Linked DNA regions of Rattus norvegicus. The protein of the gene in region 1 interacts with the protein of each later gene in a pairwise test. Links are inferred from orthologs where the notes say so. Each region holds a gene or a part of one and is shown in the gene's direction. Other genes may lie near its edges.

Evidence for each region.
Region 2: the proteins of Zfp410 (region 1) and Sertad1 interact in binary tests that used the Homo sapiens proteins (3 or more experiments, as listed by UniProt). The two-hybrid records come from large-scale screens. The link is inferred for Rattus norvegicus from reciprocal best matches to the Homo sapiens genes ZNF410 and SERTAD1.

Annotation. Positions count from the first base shown.
Region 1 is NC_086024.1:109,697,760-109,702,222, forward strand, and holds part of Zfp410 (zinc finger protein 410), read left to right. Parts: intron 1-1,902; 5' UTR 1,903-2,049; coding exon 2,050-2,082; intron 2,083-2,936; coding exon 2,937-3,072; intron 3,073-4,463. UniProt on the Homo sapiens protein: Transcription factor that binds to the sequence motif 5'-CATCCCATAATA-3', and is specifically required to silence expression of fetal hemoglobin in adult erythroid cells.
Region 2 is NC_086019.1:91,901,585-91,906,614, forward strand, and holds Sertad1 (SERTA domain-containing protein 1), read left to right. Parts: upstream 1-1,712; 5' UTR 1,713-1,824; intron 1,825-3,923; 5' UTR 3,924-3,926; coding exon 3,927-4,637; 3' UTR 4,638-4,981; downstream 4,982-5,030. UniProt on the Homo sapiens protein: Acts at E2F-responsive promoters as coregulator to integrate signals provided by PHD- and/or bromodomain-containing transcription factors. Stimulates E2F1/TFDP1 transcriptional activity.

The DNA of each region.
Region 1 (4,463 bases):
AATTGAAGTGTGTGCCACCGTGTCTGTCTCCAAAAAATACTAATTTTTTTATAAAAGATTTGCGTTGCAAGAACAAAATTTTCATTTCAGCTTTTGAATCCGGTTAGCTAGGTAATGGACCTGGAATTGGCAAACCTAGCTTGTGCACGTCCATTATATTGCTGGCTGGTGTGCTTAGCAAGTTCTGTGCTACAGATGAGGTCTACGGAGGACACTTGATGAGCCACTGTGCTCTGAACACATTGCTTCCTTTTTATTTCCAGAGATGATCTTGCAGTGTGGTTCATGCTAGCTGCAAACCTCCCTGTTCTGCTTCAGTCTTCCCACTGCTGAGCTTGCAGATGCCTGCCACCACACCTTTTTCCTGTCTTCACTTTATGGATCTCAGACTCCCAATTTTACCAGCAGTTCCACCAAATTAAGTGAATTCATGTGCCAAAGTCCATGGAGGCAGGGAGTTATCCAGGAGATTCGGGTTAGGGAACTAGCAAGGTCTGTGCTCAGCGTGGATAGACAGACCTTAGGTTCAGTGTCCAGTAGGGACCCGGGAAAAAGGAAGGGTGGGAGGGAGGAAGAATGCAGATGAATCCATTGCATCTGTGTGCAAACAGTCCCATTGCCCCCACCCCACCCCACCCCACCCCACCCCGTGTGTTGGCTTGTTTGTCTTCAATACTGGCGATTACACTCGAACATTGTGCTATGCTATGCAAGTGCTTTGCCTTGAGTTACACAGCTAGACTTGAGTACTATTGTAAACTTGATTGTTTTTGTCTTTCTGAGATCACAATAGCCCAGACAGACCTTGACTTTGCTGTAGAGCCCACTCCCCGAGTGCTGAGGTTGTAGCTTTGCACCACCAAGCCCCTGCTAGACTTATCTTTTAAATGATCAGAATGGCATAATTACCTTTTAGAATAAGAAAAAAGAGTAAGTCACACTTTCCTGTTAAACAATAAAACTGCTGTTTTATCTGTGAATTTCTTTTTACTTTTTTCTTACGATGTAATTACTGTTAAAATGGGAAATAGGTTTGTAACCGATGTTTTATTGCATGGTCTTCAGTGTGTGTGTGTGCGTGTGTGTGTGTGTGTGTGTGTGTGTGTGTGTGTGTGTGTGTCTTATGAATCAAACCCAGGGATTTGCACATGCTGGGCAAATGTTCTACCACTAAACCGCATCCCTAGTCATAACTGTGTTTCGAAGTGACAATGCCATATTTAATAGTCAAGAGTCAAGCCCTATATAGTACGTATGTGTTTAAGTGTTCTAAAAGATTATTGTGTGTGTTGCTTCCAGTTCTTTGTCTTATATTTTCAATGAGCATCTTTGGGAATATAGCTTTTCCATATTTTAAGACCCTTTCATAGCCACGTATATCTGTAATCCCTCCCAGTGCTCAGGAAGGGATGGGAAAATCATTGACAGTGGAGGCCAGCTTGGTCTGTATGTGAATTTCAGGCAGTCAGGGCTTCATTAGAAGGAGGAACTTTTGTGTGGACTGGAGATAAGGCTCAGTGGTTAGGAGCACTTGCTGTTCTTGCAGAGAAACAGAGTTTGGCCCTTAGCATCCACACAGGGCAGCTTAGAACCACCTGGAACTCCATGGAGCTCCAGGAGAATCTGATTCCCTCTGTTGGACTCTGGACACTTGGACACACAGGGAGTTAGTTACACGTGCATGAAATAAAAATAAAGATTTAAAAATTGAAGATAGTTATCAAAGCATATTGCTTTTTATAGGTTTTGATACTTTTTGGGCTTGTTCTGCTTTAAAACACATGTTATAGGCTGAGTGTCTGCTTATGGCTTTTGGACATAAAGGGATGCCTTTGTTGATTTAGCTGCATTTGCTGACTGCTCTTAATGTTGTGTCTTTCTCTTTTTTTACCCTTATTTTAGGTTAAATTGATTACCAACCTAGTTCAGCGTCTTACAGGAAGTGTTCTGTTTTTTAAAGGGATGTGAATGTAACAGGAAGGTGTCATTGGCTGAATTAGATGTGACCCTGTCCCCCCGAACAGCTACAGGATTTCAGAAGCTGAATCAATGTTATCAGATGAGTTAGAATCCAAACCAGAGGTGAGCCCACTTAGCTGTGTCTTCTTAGACCGTTGGTCAGGAAACAACGTGAGTGGCTTAATCGTAAGCATTCTTGACTTCCAAAGCCAAATGAGATTTACTTCAGTGCTTAGTTTATGAGTCTTCTGTTACTAAATGCTTTCTTAGAGACTTTATTATTCAGTTTCCATCTTCGTGAGTTTTCTATATCTGCTATTTAAGTATTTAAGGAAATACTTAAAGTACTTAAACATGATAAGATAGGTTCTATTTCTAAAGTATATTTATATTCATAGTTGTAATATTTATGTATGTATATATTTATTTACACGAATCTTGTTAATATGTATCTGAAAATAATTTTTCTAAATATGATTTAAGCATTTTATAATTTCTATCATTTTTCATACTTTAATCTTAATAAGTTTGTGTTTACTAGAAAAGTCACTAAATTTGAAATCATTTCTTAATTTTGAAGACTGGAACTTTAATTATATCATCTTAGACAAGTCTGTGTTTCAGGATGATTCGTCATTTGTAAATACGTGTTTACTTAGGAATTTAGGAATAAGTGAAAAAATACCCAGGAAAGTGCTCTCTAATGTAATCAGTACAGTGCAGTTGACTTAAAACCAAGGGGGCTCATCATTTTAAAACCCACTTTTATAATTTTTCTATGATAGAAAATGACAGATCAGTTTAATTTTATAAATCAACTATTGTGTAGAGCAAACACCTTGATAAATGTAGTTAATCTAGTTTTTCTATGTATATGACTGAGACAGGAATAAGACTTAATTATATTATCACTTGTTTGATAAATTTAAAGTTGAGATTCATTCTGATTCTCAGTTTTGCTGTTTTCCCCTCCTCAGCTCCTGGTTCAGTTTGTTCAGAATACCTCCATCCCCCTGGGACAAGGGCTAGTAGAATCAGAAGCTAAAGACATTACTTGCTTATCCCTCCTTCCAGTGACCGAGGCCTCAGAATGCAGTCGACTAATGTTACCAGGTAAAATATGTTCCCTACAGATGGGACAAAGAAGACTTGAGAGGTTAGACGATGCTGTACCAAGAGTAGGATGCAATTGATTTTACAGCTGGTTGATAGAAACTAAAATGTAGGAGCCATATCAAAAGGCAGCCATGGAAGTCATGAGAGCCTCAGTAGTTTAAGCGTAGGAACACGGATGTGAAAGTGAGACAGAAAGTTCATTGTAGCACTGTGGCACTCCCCTTTGAAGGCATGTGCTCAGGCAAGGGAGCCAGAGGAGGAGGGAAGAAGTCTGAAGTAGATGACTCTCTGCATAGCCAGGAGTCATGGGAGCCAAGGGCAATCAGAGTGCTGGAGGCCCCCAGGAGGCCAAGGACACAGAGACTGAAAACATGGCAGAGAAAGGCTGGGGAGCCAGACCGCAGGGATGGAGGGAGTGGTGTAAAGGCTAGTGTAGTTGAGGAAGTGATTATGTAGTTCTGTTCATTTTTTGGTTTTTGAGACAGGGTCTGGCTATGATCTGTGACTGGCCTAAACACACAGTGACCTACCTGCCTTTGTGTCTGCTGTAATTAAAGGCTGTGTGCTACCACTGGCCCTATATATTTTTAAAGACCTTTGATCCTCCTTTCTGTCCTCCTTTCTTTCTTCCTTCCTTCCTTCCTTCCTTCCTTCCTTCCTTCCTTCGCCTTTTTAGAGATATACTTGAATACCAGCTTATTAGATTATAAACTATTGCATCTGGACCTTTCTATCTAACTTAATCACTTCTCTTCTAAGTATGATATATATATCATTTCATACATGACGTGATTTATAAAAAAAAAAAACCTACAATATTTGGGGCTAGAGAAATGGCCTAGCAGTTTAAAGCACTTTTTTTTTAAAGATTTATTTTATTTTATTATATATAAACACACTATAGCTGTCTTCAGACACCCCAGAAGAGGGCATCAGATCCCATTGCATATGGTTGTGAGCCACCATGTGGTTGCTGGGATTTGAACTCAGGACCTCAGGAAGAGCAGTCAGGGCTCTTAACTTCTGAGCCATCTCTCCAGCCCTGTGAGACTCATCCTTATTGTGGCCATGTTTCATTTAGTCTCAGCATGGTATCCTGCCATATTTACATACCACAACTTTTTTGTTCATGTCTGAATTCTCCGATACTGTGCTGTGATAGCTAGAGCTATTATAAAGTTTATGTTCTTAAAATAGTTTTTGGTGTGTGTTTGGTAAAATACACATGGCGTAGAATTACCATCTTAAATTAGCATTTACTGTATAGTTGTGTGATATTAGGAATATTTACATTATTGCCCATTTTTATTCTTAGGATCGTGCTTGCCATCTGCTAAAAGAGGAAAAAGTGTTACCTTCCTTTAATATATATAAAATGAATGAAAGCC
Region 2 (5,030 bases), on another chromosome or scaffold:
AGTTCCACCTACCTCTGCCTCCTAGGTGCCTGGTACCCACAAAAGCCAGAATATGGCATCTGACTCCCTAGAACTGGAATATAGATTGTTGTTGAACTACTGTGTGGGTGCTGGGAATCAAACCCATGTCTTCTGGAAGAGCAGACAGTGCTCTTAACAGATGACTCACCTCTCCAGCTTCACAGACTAGCTCCTTGGTTTGTTCGTTTGTTTGCTTGTTTGTTTTTCAAGACAGGGTTTCTTCATGGAGCCCTGGGGACAGACCTTAGCTTGTCACTCAGCAGCACCAGTGCCTTTAACCACAGCCCAGCTGAGGAGTGCCATCTCCTCAGCCCAACATTCTACTGTTTGTGTTTGTGCTTGCTTGTCTGTTTATGTACTATGTGTATCAGGTGCCTGAGAAAGCCAGCATAGGGTGTTGGATCTCCTAAAACTATAGTCACAGGCAGTTGTGAGCCGCCATGTGGGTGCCGAACTGAACCTGAACCAGGAACTGAGCCAGGTCCTGTGCACTCTTAGCCACTGAGCCACCTCTCCAGCCCCTGATATCCTAACCTTAGTAAATCATCCGGCCATTTTATTTCATTTTATTTTTTCAGTGCTGCAATTGAGCTCCGGTGCTTAACATGCTGGGATGTTAGGCGAGAACTCTTTCACTAAACTGTACCTCTCCAGCCGTGTTTTAAGACTAGCTGAAGGCCCACTGTGGAGCTCAGGCGTTTAATCCCAGTTCTCATGAGGCAGAGGTTTGTGAATCTCTGAGTTAGAAGCCAGCCTGGTCTATAGATCGAGTTACAGAACAGCCATGGCTGTTATCCAGAAAAACCCTGTCACACGAAACGAAAACCCCAAACTAAAACATACAAAAACATACATATACACAAAAACTAAACTAAAAGCAAACTAACCACCCAACAACCAAACAACCAAAAAGACTATTAGGCGTGGCATAAGCCTGTGGTTCCAGTCACTTGAGAGGCTGTTCTGTTTTCCAGGCTAACTTGGGCAACTTAGTGAAACTGTCACAAAAACTAAAGTAACGAAAGTTCGTCGTTTTCTTTCTTTCTTTTTTAAAGACAGGATCTCACTCTGAAGTCCAGGCTGGCTTCAAACTCAAAGCAATCCCCCTGCTTTAAGTCTTTCCATGCTGGTGTTATGGGTGTGAACAACCACGCCCCGCAGGAAATTATTTTCAGGGACTTAAACTGCTGCCCAAAGTCACACAGCTACTCCGGAACTGATGCCCAGGACGTGACCCTGGTGTCATTCCGTCCCCACCTTACTCCCATCTTTAATAGTAGCAGAATCCAGCTGTCCCACTGTAGATTGAGTCCGGTATCGTAAATCCTACTGAGAAAACTGTTAATTTTGTAACTCTCAAGAGGCAGGTCCTCTTCCAGAAGTCATACAGTATTCTAAAATCACCATGAAGTGACAGGCCTGTACTTTAAAAAGGCCCAAACCCCTACCTGTCACCGCCCCACAAGGGAAATCGCTACCAGAGTTTGTCCCTTCGCTCAGGCAGTCCTCCTGGGCATGCGCTTTAGAGACAGGCTCCCCCCTCCTTCTGGAACGTCCCCGATCAGGCTCCGCCCACCACCACCAACGAGAGCGGATCCCGGAGCTGGAGGGCGGGGCTGCCACGCGAGTGGGCGGGAACTAGGGATTGTCGAGTGTCTGGAGTCGTGCGCCCGAATCAGAACTGCGCCTGCCGTCCCAGGTGTCGGTTGCTGGAGCCCAGCGAGCTAGCGATGCTACGGCAGCCGCTTCCTGATTGGCTGCGTGTGGCTCCCTCTTCGTTCTGATTGGTCGGGAGTGATCTGGGTATGTAAATGAAGGGGCCTGGTAGGGAAAGACGAGGGTACGGGCGACCGGGATATTTAGCGTGTTCGATACCTCAGTTAGGTAGATGTTCGCCAGAGCTGTTCGAGATCGAGGGCCAGGGCCTGTATGTGTCGCCCGGCCCGGCCGGGCTGGGTGAATCACGTCGGAGCCCGAGAAGGGGGCGGAGGCGCCGGCTCCCTGGCTCCGGCTGCGTGACTCATCCGCCCCCGCCGCCGCCGCTTCGGGAGGAGCCGCCTCCACTGCCTTCCGGAAGCGAGGGGAGGCCGGGCTAGCTGAGCGACCCGCGGGGGTCGCGGCTTGCTATACCCGGGAGAGACAGGCAGGACCCCGGAGAATCTAAAGGATCCCGGGGTCAGAGGGGCCGGAGTCCCGGGGGACCCAGGTCGGAGTACCGCTAGGGGGCGCCGGGACTCGAGGGGCGGAGTCGGGGTGGGGGCTGAATTCCTGCGGTTCCCGGCTCCCGGGTCTTCAGCGAAAAGGGCAAAGACTCGGTTTTTACTGTCTTGCCAGATCTAGGCTAGTGTCCCCGGGACTGAGACCCTGCAGTCTTTATGCCCCCGTTAGATAGGGCTAGGGGTTCCAAACTCTAGACCTCTCACCTTGGAAGAAAGTACGGATTTTCAAACTTCTGTCAATGACTTAACTCCTGCGGCCCTTCAGGGTTTCCCTTGTCGGTTCTTTTTCCTCAATAAGTTCGGGATCCACCGCTTCCTTGAATGATTGCTAACATCTTAGGGTTTACATTCAAGCGGTCAGCACCCCAACAAGTGCTGCAGCCTCGGAAGGCAGGCAATTTGGGCCCACTTCTATCCCCAAACCTTCATACACACACACACCCGATGCTGCCCCACCACCAATCTTGCCCTAGGCAACAGCTACCCGGGATCCTCTAGAGACATTGCCAACTAATGTCACCACTCATCTTCCTGCCTCGACCCTACCCTCCATGACTCTGTCCTGACACTCTGAAAATCCAAGCCTCCTCCTACTCCTGCTCGCGCCTCCTTCTGCCTGCTCCCCACCCCCACCGGGACTCCTACTGTGTCACTCTGCGCCTGCTCCTAGTGTGTGGTTTGTTTTTTTTTTTTTTTTTTTTCCTTCCCAGTTCAGGTTTACCTCTCTCAGTCTTCCTTTGGCCCTCTCAGGAAAACCTGGCCCAGGTTCTCCATAGCCTACACAGCATACATCAGGGTTCATCTTCAATGTATCTTTCTTAGAAAGACCTGCCTTGACTACCTCCAAGATGGCATCTTCCTACCAGTTTCTGTACATTTGATTATTTAATGGCCCATGCATATAGCAGATACTCTGTGTGTTGATGACTGCATTTGCAATCAAGGAGTGGCACACACACTATCCTAACCCTTGTGAGACGGAGACAGGAGGATTGCCTGGAATGGCTGGCCAGCCTGGACTACAGTTGTGAGGCTCTGTCTCAAAAGAATAAAACCCAAAAGTGCTTATAAATAAGTACTAATTATGTGGGCTTAGAGCTTGCTATTCCTACAAAGGACCTGAGTTCAGTTCCCAGTTCCCACATCAGATGGCTTGCAATTACTTTAAAACCAGTTCCAGGGACTCCTGGCAGCTGACCTCTTTGGGCATCTGCACTTTCATGCACACACACAAACACAAAATTTAAAATAAAAGTAAAATTTCAAGTACTAATGACTACGTTTTTGTTCTTTGAATCTAATCTGTGTTAGCAACTTCTAGCATAGATGCTATCTGTATCTTAGGAGTTCACCGAGGGGGCTGAGGATATAGCTCAGTTGGTAGAATGTTTGTTTTACATGCAAGAAGCCCAGAGTTCCATCCCTAGCATCAAATATACCAAGGATGGTGGCACACACCTTTAATTCCAGCACTGGAGAGATGGAGAAGGGAAAAGCAGACGTTGGCTTACCTGGCAAGTTCAAAGCCAGCCTGAGTTCCATGAGACCCTATCTCATTAGAAATAAATATGCTTAGGAAACCTAGCCCTCGGAGGTCAATTGACTGGTCAGGATCACACTGACAGCAGTTGTGAGAGCTGCGTATTGGCTTTCCATAACCGAATGACTCCTTCCTCCCTGCAGAGGATGCTGAGCAAAGGTCTGAAGCGCAAGCGGGAGGAGGAAGAAACAATGGAGTCCCTCTCAGTGGACTCGTGGTGGTTGGATCAAAGCCGCCCAGCAGTGGCACAGACCCCAGCAACCGTGGCTTCTAGCTCTCTCTTTGACCTCTCGGTGGTCAAGCTCCACCACAGCCTTCGGCAGAGCGAACCAGACCTCCGACACCTGGTGCTTGTGGTGAACACACTGAGACGAATTCAGGCGTCCATGGAGCCTACGACCGTCCTGCCACCTGAGCCCATTCAGCCCACAGCCCCCTCTGTGGCAGATAACTTTCTGTCTAGCTCAGACGCCGGCCTCTCAGCCTCCATGGCCAGCCTCCTGGAAGATCTCAGTCATATTGAGGACCTGAACCAGGTCCCCCAACCCCAAGCAGACGAGGGGCCTCCAGGCCGCTCTGTCGGGGGTGTCCTGCCCAACCTGGGTGCCTTGGACTTGCTAGGCCCAGCCACGGGCTGTCTGTTGGACGATGGACTGGAGGGTTTGTTTGAGGACATTGATACCTCCATGTATGACAGTGAACTTTGGTTACCAGCCTCTGAGGGTCTCAAACCTGTCCCTGAGAATGGCCCAGCCAAGGAGGAAACTCCAGAGTTGGATGAGGCTGAGCTGGACTACCTCATGGATGTACTAGTAGGCACACAGGCACTGGAACGGCCACCAGGACCTGGGCGCTGACCCTTAGACCCAGGGATGATTGACTTGGATCTGAGTTGAGCCTGGTGGTTACACCAATCCACTTTGACGTGACACAGATGGCTTCCCCTCACAGAGGAGACCCAGGGTCACTTTGGAGAGACAGTGCTGAGTCCTGGAAACTTCACATCCATCCACCTGTCTTGGCCAGTGAGGGAGTTAGAAATAAGCTCCCAGTGGTGAAATGACGGGACCCAGAGACAGCAATGGTGTTTGGGCTAGGCTGGGGGTTGGACTGGGATAATAGTCTGGGCTATCCCATCCTATTATCCCCAGTGTGGGAAGAGACCTCATAATTTTTGGAAATTAAAACCAGCTTTGGGAAATACCAAGTCTGTGTGCTTCTTTACATCTGTGCCGATCAGGGATGAAATA